3 linked regions of the Rattus norvegicus genome follow. The protein of the gene in region 1 purifies or fractionates together with the protein of each later gene. This does not show direct contact. Links are inferred from orthologs where the notes say so. Each region holds a gene or a part of one and is shown in the gene's direction. Other genes may lie near its edges.

Region 1 (5,066 bases):
CTCTCCAGCCCCCCAGCCCTCTTTTTACATAGGGTTTGCCTATGTGTGTGTTGGGGAGCATAGAGACTTATGTTTTCTCTGTAGCTCAGGCAGACCCTGAACTTTCCATCCCCCTGCCTCTCAGGTATCTGGGATGACAAGTAAGCTACACCAGAATTCCACTCTCTCCAGAGTCCAGCCTGTGCTGGGCATCTCCACTGCTTCAGAAATGCATCTTTTCTGTTTCTCAAACTCGATGAGAGCAGTCAGTTACCCTTGTTAATGTGAGAACTCTGGACCAGATTTGACTGCAGAGACTAGTCTCTTTGGTCCTCCTACCCGCCCCTCCTTCCCTTAGTGAGTGCTTCTAGGATTCTCTCTTCATGGAGCAGCTGTGTGGGCAATGATGACTTGTGCCAGCGTGGTGTTCTCTCCCCAAGCACATAGCAGTACAGGGGAATGTTTGCGTCGAGATGTTACTAGTGTTTGTGTGTAAGCCGGAGACCAGTTTAGAGTGTTGTTTCTCAAGAGTCAGCTACCTTGTTTTGGGGGATAGAATTCCTCTCCCTCTGGACGGGCATCCCTAGTGGGGGCCACAAACTTTATAGGGTGCTGTGCATTGAACCCAAGACCTCAAACGTGTGTTGCAAGCACCAACTGAGCCATCTCCCCAGCCCTGTTCACAATGTCTCTGCACAACTTTCTCTCACGTTTTCCTCTGTCAAACATCCCTTTGGCCTGCCTGCATTAGTCAGTGAAGAGAACACTGGGAAATCCAAATGCTTCTCGTTGAAAGGAGGTGTGAGTTCATGTGCCTGTGTGCATGTGTAGATGCATTCTTTCAGTGTGAGATGGGAAGTCCTCCGCATGCTTTGACTCTCTATGATCCTGTTGGTCCTGACAATCTTGGAGGCGGGGTCTTTCCTGCTTTGCCCACAGTGCCCGTGGCACCACAGACCTCTTCAAAGCTTCCTCAACCCCAGGCCTCCATTCTGTACTGCACTTCTGTTCCCAGGAAGTCTGCTGTCCACACACTGAGCCCCTTCTGGGCCACCCTTGGCTCTCTCCCAGCCTGGAAGCCTGCCTGGACCCATCAGCAGACAGCTCCTGGGCCAGTGCAAAATGCTGCAGAAAATTTATGAGGAACAATAAGAATGACAATAACTGCTGACTGGAAAAAGCCCCGTCTCTAGAGGCTGACGGATGGTGGGCTGGCTCAAGGGGTATCCTTGTCACAGAGAAAAGGCTCCTATCAGATAAATGGCCCAGAGGCTGCCTCCCTCCCAGCCTCGGGAACACCTGGCTGGCACCCATCACCCAGTGATTTAGGCTGGGGGACCACAGAACCTTTAGAGCCAGAAAAGTTCCTTGTGGCTAGAAATATAGGGGGTGGGCAGAAAGATGCTGGGGTTCCATCTCTGGGACTACAGGTTTTCTTTTCTGGAACTGGCCGGCCCACCACGTTCCCGCTTCCACACTATCCAGCATTCCTCTCTGGGGGCTGCGTTTGCTGCTCCAGGAAGCTGCACTGTAGTAAACAGGCTCAGGACCCACCTGCCTCCCTGGGCTCCTTGAGTCTGGAGGCACACCGCAGATCAGAAGAAACCCATGGAACTCCCCTCTCCCTCTCACCAGACCAGGCCTGAACCCTGTCGCTCAGAGCCAAGAGCTGTCAGAAACGGGGTTGTGTAGGCTAGAGGAGGCAGCAGCCAGCCTTCTGGGTACCCTAGGATCTTGCTGAGCTCCTTCTGTGCTAAGCAATGGGGTGTCACCATACACCAGGAGCCCATTCCTCATACCATCCCCCACCCTGCATCCCTCTCCTTCCTGGTGGAATGTGGGGTGAGCAATGCAGCGTCCCGGGCCGGCCAGGCGGCCTCATTCTTCTTCTGCAGAAGCATCTGTTTAAATACTTTCCGCCTCACAGGAAAGAACACGCATTCCAGGGCGGGAGCCTTCTTGGGTCAGGCTGTCGTGCAGAGCGCTGCAGTGTGTGTGCTTGATCCCTGCCAGGGAGTCCCTGCCAGCCTGCCTCCCCGTCCGTCCTAGGCGCAGCTGGGATAGGGGTCAGATATATCCATGGAACCTGACCTGGCAGAAGCAGAGACACAACTTTAGGGGTGTCTTCTACAAACCCAGGGTTTAAGTGGGTCTGGGGGCTTAGGGGCTGAGTCAGTTAGGACCTCTGAGCCCTTCCCAGGTTCTTTGGTCTCTGAGGAAGTAGGAACAGAGCTGTAGGGGTGGGGTGGGTTGAGGTGTGTGACAGAGAGCTGCCCAGATGCCTCTGGGGAGCAGATTCATATCCACTGAATCACAGGGACTTGGCTTCACCCTATCCTCGGCCTTCCCCTGCCCTGCTCTTTCAGTGAAGAGGAAAGGGTCCAGAGGGACTGTAGGCAACGGGGCTGTTCACCCTGAGCATCTTACTTAGGTGTGCAGGCTGCCTGAGGGAAGGCCGAGACTGTGAACCCCATGGTTCATGTTGAAGGTTCCAACCTAGAGCCAGTCAGTGGTGTTGGCCCAGACCTCAGCCTCACAGGCCTGTAATCTGAGTCTCAGCAGGCAGGGCAGGAGCATCAGAAGTGGCCTGACCTGTGCTCCTTTGAGCTGTGACATGGCCGTTACCACCTTAGTCAGAGCAGCTCTGACTTCTGACACCAGCTCTTCAGCAAGCTTGGGCCTGTTCCCTCATGGAAGGCAGGGAGGGGCATTAGAGGGTCACCTGTGATTTTAGCCCTGCCCTCTCTCCTACAGTCATCTCCCCTCTGTCTGCGCTTTTGCTCTGGCCGCAGATGAATTTGGGAGATGCTGGAGTATTCAAGAAGGTGGCTAACTCAGGGGCTCTACAGAGCTTTCAAGAGGTTGTCAGCCATGCTGGACTGGGCTGGGCCTTTGGTATACAACTGTTGGAGGAGGGCACTCTCTCTTCTTCACATCTTCCCAAGGGAAGTAATGAGACAGGTTCAAGGCCAGCCAGGGCAACTTAGTGAAACCCTATTTCGGAATAAAAGTAAAAAGAACTGGCCCACACCTCAGTGGTAGAGTTCTTGCCTCATGTGTGTGAGACCCTGTGTTCAATTCCAGGTACCACAGAACAAATAAAACACACCCGGGCCTTAATTTTCTCATCCGTAAAATGGACCTTAACTTGCCAGACTGGGGTTAAGATAAGAGATGTGGAAGTTCGACGAAGGAAGGGTATGGATGATGTCATCATCAGAGATGAGTACAGAGGACATGGGTCTCAAGTGTGCAGTCCAGTGGGGTTTCATGGCACGTACATACCCCGTGATAGGCACCCAGATCCATAAGCCTCTTCCACAGGCAGCCCCAGAGTCGCTAGCACCTCCTCCCATCCTCGCCAACCGTCACTGTCTCTCTCTTCCACCCTGTGTTTGTTTTGCTGCTCTTGAGCATTGCTTGGACAGATGCTGCTGCCATGAACCATTCTTCGAGGCAGTGCATTGTCCTGTTTGTTAAGTATAATTGAGGGGTCATGGTAGCCACATGTTAGTGTCAATACACGAGCTCCCAGCAGCAATGCACAAAACTCCTTCGGACACATCCTCACCTATACTTGGTTTCATCCGAATGCCACTGAGGTTCAAGGATGGATTATTAATCTCCTAATCAATAATTGTGACTATGTTTTTCTTTGTTGTCTCTGACTCAGATCTTGGAAAGGACTCTGGAGCCCGATAGCTCTGAGGAAGAGCCCCCGCCTGTGTATTCGCCGCCAGCATACCACATGCACGTGTTCGACCGGCCTTACCTGACTGCTCCTCCAACTCCACCTCCCCGGTTAGAGTCCATTTTTGTCTCAGAGCACGGTGGGTAGAGATGGAGACAGGGGTCGGATTGTATAAACCACAGTGGGAAATTGGCCGCCCCCCAGCAGACATTATTCTACTAGCTGTAAACTTGTACGGTGGCAAGGGACATTTTCACAGGACACCTCTGGGAGAACTTTCACCACTTCAACACTGTGGAACAGGGGAAGTGGCTCTCAGTCGGCAGGGTGCTCGTTGTACAAGCAAGGGGGCTTGGGCTTGAACTCTTAGTCCTCTACATATAAAAGCTGAGCACGGCAGCCCACGTCTGTAACACCAATAGCTGGCATTGCAGAGACGGGCAGGTCCCTGAAGCTAGCTGATTTAGCCAGTCGGTAAGTTCCAGGTTCAGTGCAAAACGATCCGAAAAATAAAGTGGAAACTAGAGAAATGGCTGCTCCTAAAGTGCCTGCAGAGAAAATACAAGGACCCAAGTTTGGAACCCATGTAAAAAAGTCAGCCATAACAGCATATGCCTATGGGATACAGTTAATTAAATATGGTACAGCCTCCAGGTTCTTGGAATGTGTAATCAAGGGTAGGAAATATTGTACTGACCCTTCCCTTCCCTAGCACATGGGCACGTTAGTAATTAATCATTGTGCTGTCTCCTGCTGAGGCAAGATGAAACCTCAGAATGCCTCCCAACCCAGAACCCCCAGGTAGCCATCAGTCACCAGTGGGATGACTGTCACCCCTGAGCTAGTGCTGTTGAGAGGATTTTTAAGCAATGTGAAGATGTGTCGTTTTCTGGGCTAGTTTGATGACTGGAGACAGGAGAGTGGACAGCGAGGACCCCAGAGACTTGTCTCAGCTTTGAGACTCTTGTTATTTGGAAACTTAAAATGAAGCCGGCGCCAATGGCGTCTGTTGTATGTGAATTGCTTGCTTTCTGGGCTCTGTGTTTGTCTGATGCTAGAGCCGAGGTGTGGTTGCTTTGGCCTGGAGCTGCTGTTTCTTAGAATGACAGACTGGGTGAGAGGAGATGATACAAGGGGGGACTGCTATAGTGACCCCCAATTCTATACATCTTAGGAGCCCCAGAACACTGATAGTGGGGAACTTGGAGAGCCAGGAAGAACAGCTACCATTTGCCAAACACCCTTCAAACACCAGAGGCGGCCACAGTCCTTTACTCAATGACTTAAGTACTTAAGCAGGGCACCCGCCCATTTCACAGTTGGCAAAGCTGAGCCTCAGAGGGTTCCTGCTGTCGCCGTGGCCAAGGCTAGGGGAGATCAGAGCTATATGATTTTC
Region 2 (5,766 bases), on another chromosome or scaffold:
TTTCTCTAAAAGGGCGGGGGGTGGGGGGGTTGAAGAGATGGTTCATTGGTTATGACTATTTCCTGCTCTTGGAAAGGACCCAAGTTAGATCCCAGCATTCATTCAACCGAATGTAAGTCCAGTCCCAGAGGATCAGTCACCCTCTGTGGCCTCCTTAGGCACAGGCACACAAGTGCATACACCCACACAGAGGTACACACCAAACATAATTAAAATTTTAAAGTTTTTAAACCAAAACCTGAAATAAAGGCCAAGTTACCACATTCCTATCGATCCTGAGCCATGCAGCCCTGTGTCTCAGGTTGAACACACCTTATATGTAAAGGCTCTCAAATATCACTTTCTTATATTATAAAAGGAGAGAATCGGATAAGTGTGGCTCTAGTGCTTGGCAGATGAAACCATATACAATATGTTATTGGCCTACATCAAGAAGTATCCATCAATCTTTGTCAGGGTTGCATGAAAATCCTATGCTAAAAAGTAGTTCATATCCCAGGATCTTTCCAGAGTCTTGTCTATTTAAAAAAAAATGGGGATGTGATGTCACCTCCTTGTCTCTGAGTCTACAGCCATGTGGCCTGACGTGAATGTGTGCTAATACTATAAACACTGAAATATGGAAATTTGGCCTTTCATGGCTAAGGAAAAAGTTAATGGAAATACAAGATGTTAAAAATCATAAGTAGCAAAACACGAATAATAATTAAAGGCTGCATGTTGTAATGTACATACACCTTTAATTCCAACACCCCTGAGATCTGAGTTTGAAACCAGCCTTGGGAGACTGTGTCCAAAAAAACGGGATGCAGAGCATTGGCTTTTAATGTGACAAGGTCCTAGGATGAGCCCCAGCCCTGCCAAGAATGGAAGAGAGGAAGTGAGATGTCCCACGGTACTTGTTTAATCTCAAGAGATTAAATGTGAAAGAATCAATTCCTCGTAAGTTTCGATCTGACACATACAGGATTTTTAAAAATTACAAATTTAAAACATAATGCCTGGCACTGGAGAGGTGGCTCAGAGGATAAGAGCAATGACTGCTCTTCCAGAGGTCCTGAGTTCAATTTCCAGCAACCACCTGGTGGCTCACAACCATCTGTGATGGGCCAGTGCCCTCTTCTGGTGTGTCTGAAGACAGCAACAGTGCGTACTCATACATAAATAAATAAATCTAAAAAAAATTAAAAACATAATACAAAGATACAGCAAGGAAGAAGCAACCATCGCGGAATGCCTGTTGAGTGATTTTCATGTCATCTCAATACTCTGAAAGCATTACATTATGGATATTGGTCGTCCCACCACCACCTTTACAGATGAGGGGAACAGGTAAAGAAAAAGCACTTTTCTGGTTTCCCAAGAGCCAAGGTGGATGAGGTGGCTTACCAGGTAAAGGAACTTGCCACAGTATGTTCAGTTCATTCTCTGTCTCAAAGGAGCACAAACCCAGGTCCTTGCCTCCTCTTTGGCCACAAACGAGTGGCTCCTGGAGCAGGGAGACATCAAATAGAAATTTCGAGTCCGACTTGGACAGGAGGCTATCGTCCTTAGGGCTTGGTCCCCAAGACTAAAGGCTAAGATGCTAATATTTTCGTTATCTTGCGTAACCTGACCCAGGTCTTTCCTTGGCCAGAGACCCAGTTTCCGGATGTGAAGACTTCTAGGCTCCACTGCGGCGCACATAGAAGTTTCGGGGGCGTGGCTTAGGAGCCAGCTCTCCCAGGCCCCGCCCTGGTGTGGCGTCAGCCACTGCCGAGGGGCAGCCCGGTAGGGGGCGGGGCTCGTGGCTGCGCCCCAGAGCCCCCGCCTGCCGGCACCTCCCCGCGGGCCGGCCAGCGGGTCACGTGACGGGTCGGCGGCGCCGGCGGTTGCTGTCACCTGATTCTGGGAGCTGGTGGCAGTGGTAGCCGCGGCAATGGACTTTCTCCTGGGAAACCCGTTCAGTTCTCCCGTGGGACAGCGGATCGGTGAGTCCCGGGAGCCGCGTGCAGTCCCGCCCCTGTGTGCCGCTCTGGCCTCGACCCTGGGACCTGTCGGAGTCCACAGTCAGGGCTGGGAGGAGGGAGGCTAGGCTGCGAGGCTGGCGCGGCGCTCTGGGCTCCGCCTACCCTATGACTCCCACCTGATTGACAAGAGCACAGGCCAATCGGAATTCTTATATGGGGATTGATGCTTGATGTAACCAATAGGCAGGAGAAGGAGACAGTTCTGGGCGGATGTGGCTCAGCCAATGTGTGCGTGCTGGGGTCCAGAGTAGAGGGAGAAAGTTTGGGTTAAAGGGACTGCTGTGGTGAGAAGGCGTTGGGCCGCGCCACCGCTGGGCGCGCGCAGGCTTAGAGCCTCTCCCGGGCTGGCGGCGCCTGGGTCATTCGCCGCGTCACCCGCCGCTCACATTCCGAGACGCCGGGGTATCTAGGTTCGGCCGCGCCTCTGTCCCCATGGTCGGGAGACTCGGGTTTATGTGACGTCGCCTCCTTGATGGTCCTCGCCCATAGTTTAAGGATCATGGCATGGCCTTGCTGGACTTCTTTGATCATTAAATGCATTAATAAGCGCGAGGCATTGAGGATGTTTCCTGGCACATGGCTAACGCCTGTCATTGTCAACGAGGTACCGCCTACTGAAGCTGGAGCCCATGGGAAGATGCCGGCGCCCAGCATCTACTCTCGGGCGAAGGCCAGCTGGCGACATTTACCCAGGAATGGGTGGTCTGGGCGTGACACACATCCCCTTTATCTGACCGCATTGTGAAATTATTTTTGATGTTTTTTTTTCGCCGTTGGTCCAGCCTGGGAAGGCTGGATCTGAAAGCCAAGGCTTCCCCGAAGTCGTTAGTCCAGCTGTGTTGTAACCACCACTGCAGCTGTTAGTGGCTCTTTTGAGGTTCTCATCAGTTCTCTGCAGGGAACTCTGGCGCCTGGAGCCCAGGTGCTTCACAAAAACCCCACCATAAATCGTTGTTTGAGACCCGGAAAGAGAAGGCAGCCCTCTTCTCAGATGTCTTATGTAAAGACAAAGGCAAATTAGTCTGGCCTTCAAAGCCAGCCTGAAAGTCCAGAGACCTGGATAAGCTCATTTGGGTTTAAGATGCCGTTCAGTTCAAAGCTCAGCATCTCTTCCTGCCCTGAAAGTTTGCCTGCCTCGGGCAAAAAATACTCCTGGATAAGAGTGCTGCTACATCAGTACCTTGGAGCGCTGATTAAATCTCACTGCTGGACCCTCTCTGCCTTGGGGTTCATGTCAGAATAGGTTGGACCGATCCAAGACTCAGATGGGCAGGTGTAGGGTTCCCAGTCATGTTCTTTGCAGTTGGCTGGGAGAGCACACGTTTCGAAACCTCCCACCAGAAGCGGTGGCTCACATCTGTAATCCTACACCCAGGAGACTAAGACAGGAGGATTGCCACAAAGTCCCAGGCTAACTGGACTCTGAAATTCATTGCAGGGCAGCATAAGCTGCAGTGTAAGACCCTGTTTCAAACAAAACACCAGTCCATTCTGTCCCGTGGCCCTTCCCTTTACTGAGAGGAAGAGATCAAGTTCTACAGAAGGAAGGGGGTGAAGACTGAGGAACCCCCAAAATCCAGTGCAGTGCGATGAGATGGCAAAGCTGTAAAAGAGCCAGGGGTGGTGGAACAGCACTTAGGAGGCTGAAACAGGAAGATTTTGAGTTCAAGTCCAGCCTGGGCTACAGAGAGAGACCCTACCTTGAAGAACAACAGCAGTGTTCCATACTCTTCCGTGTGTCAAGATAGAAGCACTGGAGGTTGAGCCTGCGTTGGTTTTTTTGAGACAGGGTCTCTCAGTGTTGACCAGGTTGGTCAGGAGCTTCAGGCCTTAAGCAGTCCTCCCCCATCAGCTTCCAAGTGGCGAAGACCTGACTGGCTGTGATGATTGGTGGCCAGGTTTTAGCTGCTTGTATTCTTTATAGCCCAGGCCCCTCTTTGCTGCAGGAGTAAAGTGGTATCTTCTCAGGTCTGCTGACCTCCTGCCCTAAGAGTGGAGTGTTATAGGATTAACATCCTAGGGGATAGCAGTCGTTCAGTGGTGCTAATCAGGGCCCAGTGTCACTGGCCTCACAATTCACATACACCTTGACACTTGGCTGGTCTCACTGGAAATTTCTGCTGCTGTGAGGAGCTGGGCTCATGCCCGGAAGCACTGGGCACCACCTCCTCCCTGAGGCCGTGTCCCATCTCCTGACCCAATCTCTGCTCTTGTGTTCTGTCCTCAGTCTGCGTCCTGTAGGCACAAAACAGCTCTCACCTCAAGGGAAATCAGAGATACTTCATTCTATCCCCGGACCAAATATGAATTGCCATGACCCAAGAATACAGATTCGCATCACCCCAAATAACGTGGTCCAATGTGGAAATGGTTTCATGATATTTTTTGTAGTTGCAGAGAACAAAAGCAAGCCATAAACCAGACACTCAGGCTACAGCAAAGCATGAAAATCTAGGCTCCATGTCTCAGGTGCTAGCTGATGACATTACTAAGTTTGGGTTGGTAGACACTAGTTTTCTATTAACTTATTCCAAAAGGCGTTACCTGGTAGTCACAGAAATGTTAGGTCAGACACAAGATAAGCAATAAGTGGTTACTAAGGGTCTAAAGCAAGGTAATTTGTCTCAAGATCTGCAGCATTCCAACTCTCCGCCATCACAAAGTTGTAGTCAACCTTCTAACATCTTTAACCCAGGTGTAGCTTTCGTGGGAACTTTAGTTTGTAAACTTGAACGCTCTTGCCTGAGAGAGGTTATAAGGAAGCCAGTCTTTCAGAGTGCCTGTGCAGTGAGAGGGTATGGGAAACAGCTCCCGCCACCTCGTGTTCTTGTTCCACCTCCATCACACTGATGTATCACTGTCCCTGAAAGGCTGTCCCCAGCCTGGCATGAGTTGAGAGCAGGAGCTCTCCTTTTCTTTCCTGATGCCTCAGCACCTAGAAGGAGGTGACCAGGAAAAAAAGAAAAAAGGAAGGACATGGCTTGGTCTTGAGTATGGTGAAGGAGAAAGTTTATTGTAGATAAAAGGGAAAGCATAGCCAGAAGCAAAGACCTCTGGGAGAATTCAGAGTGAACATGGGTGCCCAGCAGGGAGGGAGCAGAGCCACACCAAGAGGCCTGCAAGGTAAAAGGTACATGAAAAAAGACCAGAGAACCAAAATTATTAGATTGTGTAGGGAAGGGCAGCTGTGGGGAGGGAAGTCTAGGCTAATACCTGGGCTGGAGAAATTTAGGGCAGGGGTTGGAATGTGCAGGACAGGAGGACCTTGCAACCCGCAGGGACTGAGGGATACTGGGAGAACCTGGAGGCCAGGTTCGCTTCGATATGTTAAATAAGCACCTCGGGCGTGTCTGTTGGTCTGGGGTTTGAGCCTTAACTGGTGGGAGAGTAGCCTAACTACTCAGGGTCACAACGTTCTCCCTTGCCTCTGAACACACCAGTCTACTCTGGTCCTAGCTTGAATTTATATCAGCAGGACCCCGCAGGATTAATCTGTGTTATTAATCTACCAAAGATTATAGCATAATGGTGAGTTTTCACCCACCTCCGAGTCACTCTAGAAGAGCCCCACAAGGGCGGCCGCAGCCTGTGGCCCCCAGCGTCCAGTGGCCTATACCAGGTAGTATCCCTTGTCTGCCCCAACTATTGCAGCCCTGTCTCCCCTGCTCATCTATAATGGAACACGGACGTACCCCCACTTTTCCTTCCCAAAGGGCTGGTGAACAGCAGCTGCAAGGTAATGAGAATGGGGAAGGGT
Region 3 (4,948 bases), about 19 Mb from region 1:
ACCATCTGTAGTGGGATCTGATGCCCTCTTCTAGTGTGTCTGAAGACAGCTACAGTGTACTCTCATATACATAAAATAAATAATTAATTTAAAAAATTTTTTCAAAAAAAAAAAACAACAAAAAAAAAATAATAAAAAATTTTTTCAGGTTGGGGATTTAGCTCAGTGGTAGAGCACTTGCCTAGCAAGCGCAAGGCCCTGGGTTTGGTCTCCAGCTCCGAAAAAAGAAAAGGAAAATAAATAAATAAATTAATTAATTAATTAATTAATTAAAATAAAATAAAATAAAAATTTTTTTCTGTAGTAGTATTCTGGCTTTTTCTTGCTTGTCTTTTTCTAAATCTATTTTTATTATTTTTTAATTATGTATAATTGCATGTGTCTGCATGTGGGTATGTGTACATGAGTACAGGTACTCGGGCAGATTTTAGATCCCTGGACGTGGAGTTAGAGGTGGTTGTAGCCACCTAACATGGTAAACTGAGTTCCTTGGAAGAGCAGGAAGTGCTCTTAACCACTGAGCCACCCATCTTTCCAGGCTTGCTGCTGGTCTCTTTAATAGATGTTTACAAACAATCAGTTGACTCAGTACTGTCCCTGCTCCTTTAGTGACTGAGTAATGAGCTGGCCAAGGCAGGTCAGGAGGAGGAGGAACGTAGAGCAAGGTGGCTAGAGTGAGTGGATCTGAGACAGGACCTTCTCCCCTGCTTATGTTGTCAATTAGAGCTTGTGCTGTAACAGCCACTCCTCTGACGGACAGAATTTAGAAGGCATCCTTAATGGTCTGAATTCATTATTTCAGACATACTGTCTTAGTTAGGGTTCTCATTGCCATGAAGAGATACCATGACCAAGGCAACTCTTATAAAGACAGCATTTAATTGGGGATGGCTTACATGTTCAGTCTGTTATCATCATGCTGGGAAGCATGGCAGTGTCCAGGCAGGCATGATGCCGGAGGAGCTGAGAGTTCTACACCTTCACCCAGAGAAAGCCAGGAGCAGACTGACCCTTCTGCACTGGGTAGAGCTTCAAAGCCCACCCCCACAATGACATACTTCCTTCAACAAGGCCACACCTCCTAACAGCACCACTCCCCCTGTGTGCCACATATACTCAAACCACCTTTTTGGGAGGTAAACTTTATTTGGTAAGGGTAAGACTTACATTGTAGTTTTATCACTGTTGAAATCTTTAGAACATAGGTCATGCTACCTTATCAAAACTAAGTATATGAAACCTAGGCCATACAAGTTACATTATGGGTTTCACTGTCATAATTCACTGATAATCACTTGATGGGCAGTCCATCCAGATGATTTAGCAGGTGAGGGCACATGCCAACCAACCTGACAACGGAGTTCAATCCCAGGCCTAGACGGTAGAAGGAAAATGACTCCTGACTGTTGTCCTCTGAATTCCACCCGTGTACTGTGGTGTGTGCTCATGTGCACATACATATATGCACATAAATGAATAGAGCAAACATGTTAGATATATACACATACCTCGCTCAGTAATGGACTCTGTAGAGATAAGTTCCTGTTATCAAACTGACCTTGGTGTAGTTCTTATGTATTGATTGTATCAGGATGTCAGTTGGAACACTATACAGCAGAATTTGTGTATTTTGTTTAATTTTTATTTATTTTATCTTTCAAGACAAAGGTTTCTCTATGTAGCATTGGCTGTTCTGGAACTCACTTTGTAGACCATGTCGACCTCCTACTCAACAGATCTGCCTCTGCCTCTGCCTCCTGAATGCTGGGTTTAAAAGCGTGTGCCCAAGGCCTGGCCCTTGAGTATCTACATTTTAATATAATTTCAAAGTTGTTAAGTAAATTATATTATGGACCCAACATGTCTCTTGCTGTACACTCTGGATCATTTCATAGGTAAAATGAGGTAGTGGTGACTGTGATCTTAGAGCAAAGAACACTGCAGGCTGGTGACAGAAGTGCCTCAGACTGCAAAGCTGGCAGTGTCAGAGCTGATGTAAACCAGTGCAGGCCTAAGAAAGGCCCAGGTAGACCTTAGTGGTAAGAAGAGAAGTCTTCTGTTTGAGACAAGGTAGTAGCTCAGGCTAGCCTCAAACTCATGTTGATCCTCCCGCCTCAGCCTCTGAAGAGCTGGGATTGTAGGCATGGGCTGTTTCACCCAACTGTTTACTGAGTCTTGATTTCTGTCTACTGTTTTAAAATTTTAGAATTCTATTTTGAAGCTGGAAATTTTACAAATCTTTGATCTTGTCAGAGTCCATTACAGTGAACAGGACCTACAATGAGTAGATACTTCTGGAGGTTTAAAGATCCAGACCTTTGCAGAGCGGTGGTGGCACTTGGAAGACAGAGGCAGGCAGGTCTCTGAATTTGAGGCCAACCTGGGCAACAGAGTGAGGTCCAAAAACAAACAAAAAGATTCAGACCTGAGTGCCACAGACAGACAGTTACAGTCCCTGCAGCACAGGGTCTGTTGGGGTTGCTTTGAAAAGCTTTCCAGATAATTCAGCTGTGTATCACTCGTGGGGCTTTGCAAATCTGAGAAGTCTTGGGAGGCCCAGCTTTGATACGCAGCAGCTCACCACTCTGGCAAATATTTCTACAGCTCATTATCTGTGGGCTTGGCAAAATTGACGTGAGCGACTGGAAGGCCAACACCCGGTTAAAGCACTGCACCCCAGACAGCAACGTCGTCAAGTGGTTTTGGAAAGCTGTGGAGCTTTTTGATGAGGAGAGACGAGCACGGCTGCTCCAGTTTGTGACAGGGTCCTCTCGAGTGCCTCTGCAGGGCTTCAAAGCACTCCAAGGTGAGGAGTCCTGGGGTGGGCACACAGGTACCTTGCTTGCACTCTTGCAGGGGTAGGGAAGGATGGGATGGGACGGATCAGTGTTTGGGGTACATTGCTGTTTTTATAGCCAGCCCTGTGCTTATGAAGATCTTTGATTGATAGCTCCTATATGTGACTCCATTGCAGCTCCTTCTGCAGAGGCCTTTCTGACAGACTTCTCTGATCGCAGTGGGTGCGGTGAGCAGTGTAGAGAAAGCCTGTGTGCTGATGCTCTGTTTTGCACTTTCTGGTCAGCTTGCCTTTAACTTTGCAGGGAAGGTCATCTACCTCCATGTTCACGTCTCAGCTTGGCAAACCTTTACCCACCCGAGACGCCTCCTCTGCCTTTCTTCTAACAGGAGGGAGGCAGCATGAATTTTGAAAGCCGACTGATTGGTCAGAGCACTTTATTACATGACTTCAGACTAGTGACTTACAGCCGTCTTCAGTGTTTAGAATTGGTCTGTGGAGTAAACTGTTGGCGTTTTGGTTGAGTTGATAACATTGCTGATGGCTGTGGTGCATCATTCGGTGGCCATTGCTTCCTTCACCTTAAACTCTTGGCTTCGAAGCTGCCGGTGAGGAGGGAGAATCAGCAGTGTAGACTAGTGCAGGATTCCTCAGCAGTTGCCCACAGCATGCTCAGAAAGCCTGGGCAAAGCTACCTAAAGTTTGTGTTCCCTTCCCTGTTTGGGGAACGTGGAGTGGTCTTCCCTTGTGGGGCATGTGTGCGTAGACTGCTAATCTTTGCTAAGCTCAGTTTGAGTCATAAGTGTAAATTTGCATTAGGTTATCATCTTTAAATATGATTCAAATGTGTATTTTAAGCATAATAGCATATGCCTATAATCCTAGCCCTCTGGGAGCTGAGGCAGGAGGATCTTGAGTTTAAGATTCTCTTGAACTACATAGCAAGATGCTATTTCAAACAGTGAGCCAGCACTTAATCCAAGCACTTCAGAGGCAGAGGCCTGGTCTGTGGAGAGAATTCCAGGACAGCCAAGGCTACACAGAAATCCTGTCGCCTGTTTTGGAAAAAGAAAAAAAAAAAAAGCAAACCAAATGTGTTCATATTGTTTTGGGATGCAGATGTTCTGTGGCACCACGCTGACAGAGGCCATCAGTTAAGCTTTTCTCTCAGACAGCAGTGCTGCTGTTACGGCACCTGGTCTGAGCCTACATGTCACTTACAACCTCAAAACCAGGCTACTTTTCCTATAAGCCCCCATGTTAGTGTGTGTGAATGCAAGGTGCTCCCCAGCCCGTGGTTTATGTTCCAGTTTATTCTGAGGCGTTGGAGATGGACTCCTGTACCTGCTGTGATCTGACCCACATTCCTTCACTGGCAGGTGCCGCGGGCCCACGGCTCTTTACCATACACCAGATTGATGCCTGCACGAACAACCTGCCAAAAGCCCACACTTGGTGAGTTATTTTTGTATTCTCCTCTGTCGTTGTAGGTAGATTTTAGTTTAAAAGAAATGATGAACACTTCCTTGAAGTGATTTAAAAAGTTATTCAGAAATCAGTAGGCACTCCCCAGCGTGGTGATCTCTGCGTTAGAGGACAGCAGCTTCTACCTTTCCGTCTGAGACAAAGGCCGTGTTATGCTCACGTGCTGCACCTGCTGACTTGCTCTGAGAAATGATCAAGTCTGATTTGCTTCTTCACAGTTTCAATCGAATAGACATTCCGCCCTATGAGAGCTATGAGAAGCTCTACGAAAAGCTGCTAACAGCCATCGAGGAGACCTGTGGCTTTGCTGTGGAGTGATGAGCGCCGAGGACTCACCCACAGCTCTTACTGACCCCTGGCCAACAGCCTCCTTCAGCAGCGCTTCAGAGAACGCTGGAGTACAGGACAACAGCCCCTCCCCTGCTCCTTAGATTCTAGGACACTGTGAGGGGAAGGGACAATTTTGAAATTCCTTTTCAAGGAAAAATAAAGGTCTTTATGCTTTGCCATGAGGACACACTCAGCTGCTATTTAAAAATTAATACCTTGAACCTAAAGAATGCTGACCCCTGCATCTCCAGAGTTAGGCAGTATTCTACACTTAAAAGACTACTACTATTTTTATACAAGGTTATCTATCCAAACTGCTTCTCAGACTCGCGTCTC

What was found.
Region 2: the proteins of Cuedc1 (region 1) and Tom1 purify together in Homo sapiens (co-immunoprecipitation; 3 studies listed by BioGRID and IntAct, with this or other methods). This does not show direct contact. The link is inferred for Rattus norvegicus from reciprocal best matches to the Homo sapiens genes CUEDC1 and TOM1.
Region 3: the proteins of Cuedc1 (region 1) and Smurf2 purify together in Homo sapiens (co-immunoprecipitation; 3 studies listed by BioGRID and IntAct, with this or other methods). This does not show direct contact. The link is inferred for Rattus norvegicus from reciprocal best matches to the Homo sapiens genes CUEDC1 and SMURF2.

What each region holds. Positions count from the first base shown.
Region 1 is NC_086028.1:73,465,588-73,470,653, forward strand, and holds part of Cuedc1 (CUE domain-containing protein 1), read left to right. Parts: intron 1-3,652; coding exon 3,653-3,780; intron 3,781-5,066.
Region 2 is NC_086037.1:13,409,397-13,415,162, forward strand, and holds the start of Tom1 (target of Myb1 membrane trafficking protein), read left to right. Parts: upstream 1-1,847; 5' UTR 1,848-1,918; coding exon 1,919-1,970; exon of another isoform or gene 1,971-5,179; intron 5,180-5,766.
Region 3 is NC_086028.1:92,263,790-92,268,737, reverse strand, and holds part of Smurf2 (E3 ubiquitin-protein ligase SMURF2), read left to right. Parts: intron 1-2,604; coding exon 2,605-2,806; intron 2,807-4,176; coding exon 4,177-4,252; intron 4,253-4,500; coding exon 4,501-4,600; 3' UTR 4,601-4,948. UniProt on the Homo sapiens protein: E3 ubiquitin-protein ligase which accepts ubiquitin from an E2 ubiquitin-conjugating enzyme in the form of a thioester and then directly transfers the ubiquitin to targeted substrates.